Pelodiscus sinensis: one gene and its partners. The protein of the gene in region 3 binds, or shares a complex with, the protein of the main gene of each other region. Links are inferred from orthologs where the notes say so. Each region holds a gene or a part of one and is shown on either strand. Other genes may lie near its edges.

The links.
Region 1: RUVBL2 (region 3) and PFDN2 share a complex: the UniProt entries of both Homo sapiens proteins name them as parts of the PAQosome complex. The link is inferred for Pelodiscus sinensis from reciprocal best matches to the Homo sapiens genes RUVBL2 and PFDN2.
Region 2: RUVBL2 (region 3) and DNAAF10 share a complex: the UniProt entries of both Homo sapiens proteins name them as parts of the PAQosome complex. The link is inferred for Pelodiscus sinensis from reciprocal best matches to the Homo sapiens genes RUVBL2 and DNAAF10.

The regions. Positions count from the first base shown.
Region 1 is NC_134734.1:16,077,451-16,081,193, reverse strand, and holds the start of PFDN2 (prefoldin subunit 2), read right to left. Parts: upstream 2,203-3,743; 5' UTR 2,142-2,202; coding exon 2,049-2,141; intron 1,673-2,048; coding exon 1,584-1,672; intron 515-1,583; coding exon 391-514; intron 1-390. Other genes in the region: NIT1 (deaminated glutathione amidase), read left to right, coding at 2,385-2,386. UniProt on the Homo sapiens protein: Binds specifically to cytosolic chaperonin (c-CPN) and transfers target proteins to it. Binds to nascent polypeptide chain and promotes folding in an environment in which there are many competing pathways for nonnative proteins.
Region 2 is NC_134713.1:181,846,561-181,850,303, reverse strand, and holds the start of DNAAF10 (dynein axonemal assembly factor 10), read right to left. Parts: upstream 2,238-3,743; 5' UTR 2,114-2,237; coding exon 1,925-2,113; intron 1-1,924. Other genes in the region: RNA-binding protein PNO1, read left to right, coding at 2,299-2,508. UniProt on the Homo sapiens protein: Key assembly factor specifically required for the stability of axonemal dynein heavy chains in cytoplasm.
Region 3 is NW_027465870.1:30,837-34,579, reverse strand, and holds the start of RUVBL2 (ruvB-like 2), read right to left. Parts: upstream 2,485-3,743; 5' UTR 2,388-2,484; coding exon 2,376-2,387; intron 2,281-2,375; coding exon 2,232-2,280; intron 1,839-2,231; coding exon 1,783-1,838; intron 1,581-1,782; coding exon 1,439-1,580; intron 1,135-1,438; coding exon 1,005-1,134; intron 729-1,004; coding exon 662-728; intron 1-661. UniProt on the Homo sapiens protein: Possesses single-stranded DNA-stimulated ATPase and ATP-dependent DNA helicase (5' to 3') activity; hexamerization is thought to be critical for ATP hydrolysis and adjacent subunits in the ring-like structure contribute to the ATPase activity.

The DNA of each region.
Region 1 (3,743 bases), on a different chromosome or scaffold from region 3:
GTCCCCACTCACTGTGTTACACCCTGCGTGGGAAGGGACTAATTGCTCTTAGGGACAAGGTATGGTTTGGTAGGATCTTTCTGGGACCCAGAGTGAGGGTTTCCACAGGGACCCAACTCCCCTTGAAATCCAGCGAGGCAGATATCCTTCCAGCTCCCAAGCAGAGCCCCAGAGAGAGAGGTCCAGCACCTTCCCCATTCCTGGACACAATGCACCGCCCACCCCTGCACTAACCACATCATGGCCCCTCTAGCAAACTAGAGAAGAGACTCCCTCACCAAGAGAAAGGGCACATAGCCAGCATGCATGACATCCCCACCCCCATGCCAGTGAGGCACAGAGCAGTCTGTGCCCTCCCCAGACCCTGCCCATGCCTAGCACCCATGTTACCTGCTCTTTGTTGCTCTCCAGGGCAGGGAGGACCTCCTTGACAGTGCGCTCCACCAGCACCCCACCCACCATGCGGTAGCACCTGCGGGTGGGGTCCACCTCTTGCAACGTGTCAATGACCAGGCTGTAGAAAAGGCAGATGCTGCTGAGGGCCCTCCCAGCACCACAGAGACCGTACAGGCAGGGCTGCAGATCCACAGGGCCCAGCCAGTCGCTATAGCAGGGAAGGGGAACCTCCAGCCAGTGGGTTTGCTTTGACCCAGCCCACAAAGCTCAGAGCTCCCCCAGCAGATCAGCCTGCAGGCTCCGCCTGATAGGCAGGGAGGAAGCAGCTCTGGGAACAGCAACATAGGAAAGTTCTGCCTCTGTGCTCACTTAAAGATCTACTCCTGTGGCTCCCACTGGCCAGGAATAATGGCTAATGGGGGGGCTGGGGGACAGTGCCTACAAGCCCTGGGTCACCTGCGCCCCAGACCCTCAGAGCTGGGCCTACCCCTCCCATACCCAGCCTCCTGCCCTGACCCCACCACCTCATCCCACTCCCCAGCAGCCCCCTCCCCAACACAATGAACCCCTCATTGTTTAACTCACTCCAGAGCCTAAGCCCCCACAAAATCTACTAGCCCCAGGACCTCAGAGGAGTTAATCCAGCTCTGGGGGTAAGTCCTGAGCCTCGGCACTCCACTCCGCCATGACGCTGGAGTTTGTGGGGAATGCGTCTTTTCCCCCTCTCTCACTCGGAGAGCAGGCCAGTGAAGGCTGAGGCTGAGCTTTTTGGTTTGGTTGTTTGCTCCTTATTTGTGGGTGGCCCTGAATGATTTTTCTGTGGGCCAGTGGCCCCCCCACTGGACCCTGCACTATAGTCTGAGGCCCAGCCTACCTGATACCCAGAGCCCTGTGTGCAGAGTCGCAATGGGATCAGGGCTCCAAGCAAGCCCTGAACACCAAGGGCAGAGCCCGACATCCCCCTGACGATGGCAGGTAAAGCCCAGGGGGCCAGTGACCATTTCCAGCACTGGGCGGGTTCCTCCCCCGCTGAGCAGCGCAGGGGGCACATGGGCTGGGCCCTGCGCTGCACTGGGGGGCGGGGCTGAGAGAAGGCATCAGGTGACGCTGCAGCAGGCACGTGGCTGGCTGGTGAGGGAGCAGCTAAACGCGCACGGGGGAAGAGGGGGGGCCGATCCTGCCCCCACCTGTGCTCGTTCAGCTCCAGCTCCAGCTCCGACGCCTTCGAGGCCAAGCTCCGCTGCTCCTGCCGCAGCCGGTTGAATCCAGCCACCACCTGGGGGGGGGGGGAGAAGGTCAGTCACGGGGGGGGGGGGGAGCGCTCAGTGAAACCCCCCCCCAAGAGATGGACTCGCCTGGCCCATACACCACCCCCATGGGGTGCGATGGGCCCGCCCGACATACACCCCCCCCTCCTCACCTGGTGCGATGGGCCCGCCCGACATACACCCCCCCTCCTCACCTGGTGCGATGGGCCCGCCCGACATACCCCCCCTCCTCACCTGGTGCGATGGGCCCGCCCGACATACACCCCCCCTCCTCACCTGGTGCGATGGGCCCGCCCGACATACACCCCCCCTCCTCACCTGGTGCGATGGGCCCGCCCCACACACACTTCCCCCTTCTTAGGGTGCGATGGACCCGCCCGGTACCTGCTCCGCCGCCAGGGCTTTGCCGGTGGATGGAGCCGTCGCTGCGGGCTTGCTCTTGCCGCTGTCCGCCATCTTCCCGCCCGTTCTGCGCATGCTCCGTACGCCCCAACTTCCGGCAGGGTCACGTCTTCTACCGGCCGGGAAAAGGCCCCCTCGGGCGCCATGTTTGTTTGGGGCACGCGCCCTGACGCTGGGCCTGAGGCGCCATCTTTGTGAAGGGCTCTGTCGGACTTCGCTCCGCCCGCTCCCTTCCCCGCCCCCTGCAGGATTCCGGCGGGACCGGCCCTGCAGCTGCGCCCCAGGAGCCGAGTCGCCCCCTTCCCCGCTGCCTGCTCCATGTAACAGCCCGGCTCGCTATGGGGCGGGGCTGGGGGCGCCGGCCGCCTCGGGGGGGCGGGGCCGGCCGCCTCAGGAGTTTGGGGGGGCGGGGCTGGCCGCCTCAGGAGTTTTTGGGGGGGGGCGGGTGAGGGGCGGGGCTGGCTGTTTTGGGAGGGGAGGAGCCGAGGGGGGCTGCCTGAGGAGGGTTGGGGGGCACATCTCTGAATCGGGGGTGGGGCCGCCCCCCCCTCCCAGGGACTGGCCAGTTTAGAGCAGGCTGGATATTGCCAGTGGGAGGGGCTGGGGACGAGGAGCAGAGGGGGCAGGGTTCTGGGGTGGACCCAAGATTTCTGGGAGCCCCTGGTAGGGGATGAGGCCTGGGCGCCTCCTTGTTTTGTGTGTGTGGCGCTGACCGTTTCCACGCTTCATCCATTCCCTTAGCAGGCTGGAGTTGCTCCTCTGCTTTCCCCATTTTATTTCCATCCGTCCGGAGACTCTGAGACTTAGGGGCAACAAAACATAGCCAGGAATAGGTCCCAGGACTGGCAGCTGCCCGGATAACTGCAGCGCTAGTGTAAATCACTGGAGCCCAACGAGTGAGAGTTCAAAGAGGAACGGACTTTGAGTCAAACTATTTCAAACTCTTGATTTGTGTTGACACCTTTTAAACTTCAACAGCATATTAACATTTGGGCTGAAGGAAGCTTTAAAGATACAACACTCTTGTTCTTGGATCATGATGTCTTCTGTTCGCCCTAGATTCCCATGCTTTGCTCAAGCCAGACTTGACCTTCTTCCTGCTATTGTGGAGATAAACCATGAGCAGCAAGAAACTGTTTTTTTGTCTCTGGCTGCCTGAGTCCTCTTCTTAGTGTCATATTTCTGGGCTGTTCAGCCCAAGAATCCCATCTGATCAGATGAAGCAAAATGCAGGACAATGTAGCACTTTAAAGACTAACAAGATGGTTTATTAGATGATGAGCTTTCGTGGGCCAGACCCACTTCCTCAGATCAAAAAACCTGGTCAGATGTTTAGGGAAAGCAACTGTGAAAGGAACATGAATCTGGATGACAAAATATTGGTATTTTGGGAAGCTTTTCAAGGAGTGCACCAAGCAGTAAGCGCAGGGCCAGCCAGGCTGGTGTGTTGTTGTAGGGATGTTCACAACCACTGGGCTGACCAGGCTGCTGTGTTCATCAGCACAATGCTGGTGAGCTGAGGTAGGATTGTTCATGAGTACCTGGCTGTCTGTGCTGATGTGTTGTAGCAGGGCTGTTTGTGAGCATTGCGTTGGCGTTGCTCATTTGTTGTGGTGGGATTGTTTGTGAGCCCTGGGCTAGTTTGTTGTGGTAAGATTGTGAGCACTGGGCCCATCT
Region 2 (3,743 bases), on a different chromosome or scaffold from region 3:
ATTTTGAGGAGGAAAGGCATTTCCTCCTCACTCCCACAACTGATTAACAGAAAGGATGCCAGGTAGAGGAGCCAGCTAAAGAAACCTCAGCAAGTTAGTAAGAAATACTTAAGGTCATGGAATACTGGACTGGAGGATGCATATTATACTTGGGAGATAAAGGAGGGATATGGATTTTTTTCTTGTATGGAAGTGGTGACATGGCTGAGGTAGAAATATATAAGCTCTTGTTAAAATTCTGGCAGCACATCGGAGTCTAAAATCCAAATACAGTACAGTACAGACTTGTAAAATCATTTTTAGGAACAGTGTACTCGATAATACATTAATCCCAATCAAAAAAACTTCTTAAGCTGATTTTAACAAACAAATTAGTTGCCAGCATTATTGCAAGGTACCTGGTCGTAAAATCCTTTGGATCTCAGCATGAAGATACTACTCTAATACATACCTACTATTTTTAGCCTCAAAACAGGGAAAATACACATTACAGACAGAAGAGTTCGGCCATCCTGAGTTGAACAGTAAGAAATCAGATTAATCTTTTAATATAAGGAGATCTTTAAATGACACTGAAGTATTTTAAAAAGCTTCAGTGGAACCATTCCTTCACACCCTCCCACAGTGCAGGCAGCATATGGCATGTATGCTCTTATGTAAGCATCAGAATGAGAAATGAAGCTGGAGAGTTTCTAGGAAATTCCATGTAAGACCAGTCAATGAAGTAGACATTTTAAAGTTGAGTTTTAAAGTTTGTTTTTTAATTTAATTTATGTTCTTTTTAAAGAAAAGGATGGCTTGAAACACTGTTTACATGTTTTACCTTGACAATATTCTCCTTCCTTCCCTATCCCCATTTAGAAGTACCCTGTGTGAAATATGCCACTCTCCACTCAAGTGGTGACTGCAATTCATTACTACGTATGTTTTACCAGATGACTTTGGGGTCACCTGTAGCATCCTGCAAATCCATGGATATCTGCTTTATATCCCAAGATATCCACATACACAGATGTGAATGCAGCTCTCCATGGATACAGATTTTTGTGGATACAAATGTTGTCACTAGAACAGTATTCCCTGTAAGCAGTGTGCTCCTGCCACACCAGAGAAATTAAAATGCTGCCCAGCTGACTAGCAGAGAGCCCACAGGAAGGTTGTGTGTTTCTATTGAAGGTGCACATTGTTTGCATGCCTCAGTGCACAGAAACATTAATTCTGCACATGGATGTATAAGGTTCTAGATGAATTTTTCCATTTTTGGATATTCTTTATGTGCTGGTATCTACACTCGAAAATTATTTATGCGGGTACGAATTACGTATCCATACAGGGTTCTAGTCATTTGAGGCAAAAAGTGTCATTAGAAGGCAGCATATGAAGTGACCTTAAAGTCTATGAGACAGCCACATACCCGGGGTTCCTGTTCTTTATTGGTGACTGCAGGGGGAAGGACTACATTGTCTTACCAGACCTCTCCTCCTTTCATCTGCAAGGTGTGTGAGGAAAAAAATGAGACCATTCTTGCAGACTGCATCAGCGGGGTGCTGACAGCATCTTTATCGGGGGAGGGAGGGAGATTTTCAAAGGAAGGGGAGAGTTTTGTGCTTCCACCCTACACCCCGGCCAGACGGCTGAGGGGCCGCCTGCCCAGCACCCTGGGTTGGGCAGGCCCGGCGTGCCCCAACATTACCATGGCAACCAACCCTCAGGGAGCAGGTGCTGCGGGTCCTGGCACCCGCTGTAGCGGACAGCAGCTCACGGGGGAGGGAGGAGACACTGAGGGGCCTGAGAAGAGACTCAGAGGCGGGGGGGGGGGGGGGTCGTAAAGAGGTTACCAGAGCTCAGGGGGCGAGCGGCACCCCCCCTCGGCAGAGCCCAGCGGGCAGGGGGGAGCAGCGCCCGGGCGGCTGCCGACACTCACCTCGCGCAGCAGGCTGAGGCGGCCACTCTGCAGCTCGTAGAGCTGGATGAGGCCGGTGCCGCGCGGGACGCTGCCGAGGCAGAGCAGGCGCGCGCTGCACGGCACCCATTTGCACTCGAACACGGTGTAGTTCAGCGACTGCTGCACGTGCGCGATCAGCTGCGGCTTCTCCATCCCCGCGCCCGACATGCCGCCCCAACCGCCGCGGCCTGCGGCGACTCAACCACGAGCCGGGTGCCCAGCGAGCAACGGCAACATCCGGGGCTCACGCCAGTGCTCCCGCGGCAGGCATCACTCGGGGCGGAAGTGACGTCTCCGTGGGCCCGGGCTACGTCGATCTTTTAGCCCGGCTTCGCCCGCACGTGGGGTGCTGCATGGAAGGGCCGGTGGAGGACGGGGCCGGGGTCCCAGCCCCGCAGACCCAGGGCGCGGCGGAGGCCGGCGGCTTTATCAAGGTCCCCCGGCGGGGCAAACGGAAGCGACGGGCGGCCGAGCTGGAGCGGGGCGGGGCCCCCATGGACACGGGGCAGCCCCGGCCCAGCAAGAGGCCCAACTTCCCCCCCGTCTCCGCGGACGCGCTCAGGGTGAGACGGGACGCGCCGGGCCTTGGGCCTAATCTCGGGGGTGTCGCTCCGGGGCCCCGCGCTGCCCGGTCCGCTGTCACCGAGCCCTGCTCGCCGGGGGCCGCCATGGGGGAGAAGCTCCCCTGCGCCGCCTCCGTGCCAAGGCCGAGCTCCTAGCGTGGCTCACAGCTGGGTCCGGCCGCCAGCCGTGTGGCAGCCCGGGGTTTGGGGGGGGGGGTGTCCTGTCGCCTTAGGGCTGTAGATAAGGGCGCAGTGGGAGTACCGGGGGCAGCGGAGAAGTTGTTAGGTTTCACCTCCCTGCCGATGAAGCTGTCGTGTTGAGCGATGTTGTTAATTTGAAAGCTGATTTTTTTTTTTTTTAAAGCAAGAAAAGTAGTCGAGGGCGCTAGACCTAATCTTGACTCCACCCGTAAACTTCTCTGGTTTTGCGGCTACGGAATTGTTTCATGGGTTTTCTCCTTTTGTTTTTTGTATACACACATGATACATGACCGTGCTGGGAAATAATGAGACCAGTAAGTCGTGTGCTGAAGGGTGTAACTAGAAAAAAGCAGCCACTTTCTCCTCTTTTCAGCTCAAGTGATATTAGAAATGATAGGTACACATTTTTAGATGGAAGTGTAACTTTTCAGTGGACTATGTCCCTTTAGCTAGAATTTAGATTTCCGGTTTTATAGTAATTTTTGCAGACACACTTTTTCTCCAGTGAAGATGAGCTTGTTAACTTGGTACTGAAGAGCATTGTTTTGAAACTAAGCAAGAGTAGTTGGGGAAACATTTGCAGCAAGAAGTTTCAGCTTTTTAAAAGTTGAAGTAATTGCTAATAACTCTCCAGTACCCTGGCACTGCCTGTTTCCAGTAAAATTGCACTAAAGCTAATCTTTTAAATTAAAGATTGATATGGTACACAGATAAAGAAGGGAAAGTATCTACAACGAGGTGTCATGTTTGAATGATCTAAACCTAAAAGTTTTGCTAAGAATTTTGAGATACATACAGTCCATAATGAGCATTGACCTAGATTTAGATGTGCAAGTTAAACAGTACAATTTAGGTATTGGTGAACAAGTATTTGGTTATATCACTCATGGGCAATTTTACAGAGTTTATTGTGGAAAGTAAATATGTTATCAAGTGGCAATTGTCCCTCAGTCTGTCAGTATTTGGGGAAGGCTGACTGTTGGAAAAACAGTCTGGTAAGGAAAGATTTGGGCTACTTCCCTGGCTGCGTTCAT
Region 3 (3,743 bases):
AGAGCAAGTGGGGGGATGGGCACTGGCCCACCGGCCATGGGCAGGCTTGCTGGGGGCTGGAGTAGAGAATGGGAGGTTCCCATTCTGGGGGGAGGGGGGGGGGGAAGAGGCCAGTTCCTGCAGAGGGGAGGCAGGGAATGGGGGCTAAGTTCACCCTAAGCTGTGTGGCCACGGGGCAGCCTTCTAACCCCCCGGTGCAGGGGCTCAGGGCCTTAGAGCTGCCACGGTGGGCAGACACACGCCCCGCACCTGGCCCGGAGCTGCGGCAGTGAGAAAGGCCTGGCAGAGCCTGTACCCAAAACCCCTCAGCCCCAGCCCCACCACGGATCCCACACCCCCAGCCAGAGCCTGCTCCCACCCGCCGAACCCTTTGGCCCCAGCCCGGCCAGACTGTCCACGCCCAGAATGAACGTGACGTGCGCCATGATGGAGGGGATGGGCCAGTCGCCACCTGCTCGCACACGTAACATTCACTCTGCACGTGGACATCACAAGTGAGGGACCGGTGAGAGGGAGGGGCGTGTTCGGGGGGGGGGCAGGGAATGGGAGGGGACCTGTTCTGAGGGGCACAAGATGGGGGCAGGAGCATGGCAGTGCCAGCCAAGCCAGTTGTCTTGTCCCCAGCCAGCCAGCCCCACCACCCTGCCCCCGCCCTACTCACGGTGCCGGTGGCTGGGCGGTCGATCTGGATCTCCACCACCTCCCCCTCAATGATCTCGGTCTCCTCCCTGTGGCGAAGGAGAGGGCCAAGCTCAGTCCTCCCCCCACATCTTGCCAGTGGCTCCCTGGGACACAGGAACAGCTTCCCCAATCGCCCCCCATGGGCAGGCAGCTCTGTGCCCACTATGGCACCCGCCTGGCTCCCAGCCCTGCTGCTCTACCCACCCCCCTCCCAGAGCCAGCACGAGAACCCCACAGCCCAGGCTCCCAAGCCCCTGCTGTTACCCCCCAGCCCCCCCCACCAGTGCTGAGCCAGAACCCTGGGGTCCAGGCCCGCCCCTCACTTGATGCGCACGCCGATGGAGCGCCGAAAGGCCTGGGTCAGCGCCTCAGTCTTGCTCATCTCCAGGGAGAAGATCTCGCTGCCCGCGATGGCCGTGAAGGGCGTGTCCAGCCCCAGTGCCTGCGCCATGCCTGGGGGGCAGGGGGGACCTAGTTACACGGGGGGAGAGGCAAGCCGAGGATCCCTGCTCCTGAGCCACCACTCAGGGCAGGGCAACTCCCTCGAAGGGTCCAGCCATCTACAGCAGAGTGCCAGGGTGGGAGGGATTCCCAGGCAGGGAGAGGGGGCGGATTCCCTGGGTGCGGGGCAGACACCCCGTGAGAGCATTCCTCGGATGGGGCAGGGACTCTAAGGAAGGGGTGGGTGCGTGTGATGGGGATTCCTGGATGGGGGGGGAGCCGGCAAGGAGGGACTCCAGTGCCCTGAGCGCGGTACCCATGGCGATGGCCGTCTTGCCGGTGCCCGGTTGGCCAGCGATGAGGACGGCCCGGCCGGCGATCTTCCCTTCCTTGATCATCTCCAGGATGACGCCTGCGGCGCGCCGGGCAGCCAGCTGGCCCACCATGCCCTGCGAGACCTGGGGAGAGACAGGGTGGGTGCTGGCAAGGGGGGGTCCGGCCAGCCCCCCCCCCGCCCCCCCGCCCCACACCCACAGACCCGCCCTTCTACCCCAGTCACGTGCAGCCTCCCCCCATAGGGGACCCCCCCTTCCTGCCAGACCTGCCCAGCTCCACCCCCCCAAGGCGCCCGCCCCCCACTCAGCCCCCCCCCCCCGGTACCTGTCTGGGCTCCAGCGCATCGTCCAGGCCCAGCCCGCGGATGTGGGAGTGGGCGCCTGGGGACAGAGGGGAGGCACCGTCAGCTGCTGCCCCGCCCCGCGCGCCCCTCGCCCCGCCCCCCCGCTGCTGCCCCGCCCCGCGCGCCCCTCGCCCCGCCCCCCCGCTGCTGCCCCGCCCCGCGCGCCCCTCGCCCCGCCCCCCGCTGCTGCCCCGCCCCCCGCGCCCCGCCCCCCGCTGCTGCCCCACCCCTCGCCCCGCCCCCCGCTGCTGCCCCGCCCCCCGCGCCCCTCGCCCCGCCCCCCGCTGCTGCCCCGCCCCGCGCGCCCCTCGCCCCGCCCCCCGCTGCTGCCCCGCCCCTCGCCCCGCCCCCCGCTGCTGCCCCGCTCCTCGCCCCGCACGAGGGGCGCCCCGTTGCCATGGAGACCGAGCCGGGCCCGGGGGGGACTCACCGATGCGCTCGATGCGCGTCACGTCGCGAACCTCGGGCACCTTCGTGCTCTGCGGAGAGACAGAGACCGGTCAGGGAGGGCGGGGGGGGGGAGCGCGCGGGGGGGGCCCGGGGGGGCCCGGGGGGGCGGGGCGGCCGCGCTCACCGCCGTTGCCATGTTGCTCGGAGACCGCAGCGAGCCGCCGGCGCGGACCGGAAACCGGAAGTGGCCCGTCGCCGCCACGCGCTGAGCGGAGGGAGCCGCTCCCGCCGCCGCTCGATGGCCCGCGGTCCTCCAGCCCCGCCCCCTCCCTGGCCCCGCCCCCCGACTCTGGCCCCGCCCCTCTCCCTGCCCTGCCTGGCGGCCCCTTCCTCACTCCGCCCCGCCCCGCCCCGCCCGCCACTTCCTCCCGCCCCGCGCCCCTCCCTAGGAATTGGTGACACTTCCCCTTTAAGACCTTGAAGCACGTACCGTCCCCTCCCCCACGTGTCCCTCCCCCGCCGGGCACCGGCCACGTTAGCCAATCAGAGCCCTCGGGCGCCTGCGGGCTCCACTCAGAATCAGGCGGCGCGCATGGGGCGGGGCGGCGCGCAGGCCACGCCCCTGGTGGGCGGGGCTCCGGTGCAGCAGAGCCCGGCGGGGGAGGGGCGGGGTCAGTCTGAGAGCAGCGCTGCGAAGTGGCTGGAGGCGCTGGGGGGAGGTGAGTTGGGGGGGGGGACTCCGCGAGCCCCGCATGTTCCCCCCGCCCCCTCTCCACCCAGGCCCCCCCTCTGCATCCAGCCCCCCCTGCATCCAGCCCCCCATCTCCCTCCAGCCCCCCTGCATCCAGCCCCCATCTCATCCAGCCCCCCTGCATCCAGCCCCCATCTCCCCCAGACCCCCTCTCCTGCATCCAGCCCCCATCTCATCCAGCCCCCCATCTCCCTCCAACCCCCCCTGCATCCAGCCCCCCATCTCCCCCAGACCCCCTCTCCTGCATCCAGCCCCCATCTCATCCAGCCCCCCCTGCATCCAGCCCCCCATCTCCCTCCAGCCCCCCCTGCATCCAGCCCCCCATCTCCCTCCAGACCCCATCTTCCTCCAACCCCCCCTGCATCCAGCCCCCATCTCATCCAGCCCCCCTGCATCCAGCCCCCCATCTCCCTCCAGCCCCCCTGCATCCAGCCCCCATCTCATCCAGCCCCCCTGCATCCAGCCCCCCATCTCCCTCCAGCCCCCCTGCATCCAGCCCCCCATCTCCCTCCAGCCCCCCTGCATCCAGCCCCCATCTCATCCAGCCCCCCATCTCCCTCCAACCCCCCCTGCATCCAGCCCCCATCTCATCCAGCCCCCCTGCATCCAGCCCCCCATCTCCCTCCAGACCCCATCTCCCTCCAACCCCCCCTGCATCCAGCCCCCATCTCATCCAGCCCCCCTGCATCCAGCCCCCCATCTCCCTCCAGCCCCCCTGCATCCAGCCCCCCATCTCCCTCCAGCCCCCCGGCATCCAGCCCCCATCTCATCCAGCCCCCCATCTCCCTCCAACCCCCCCTG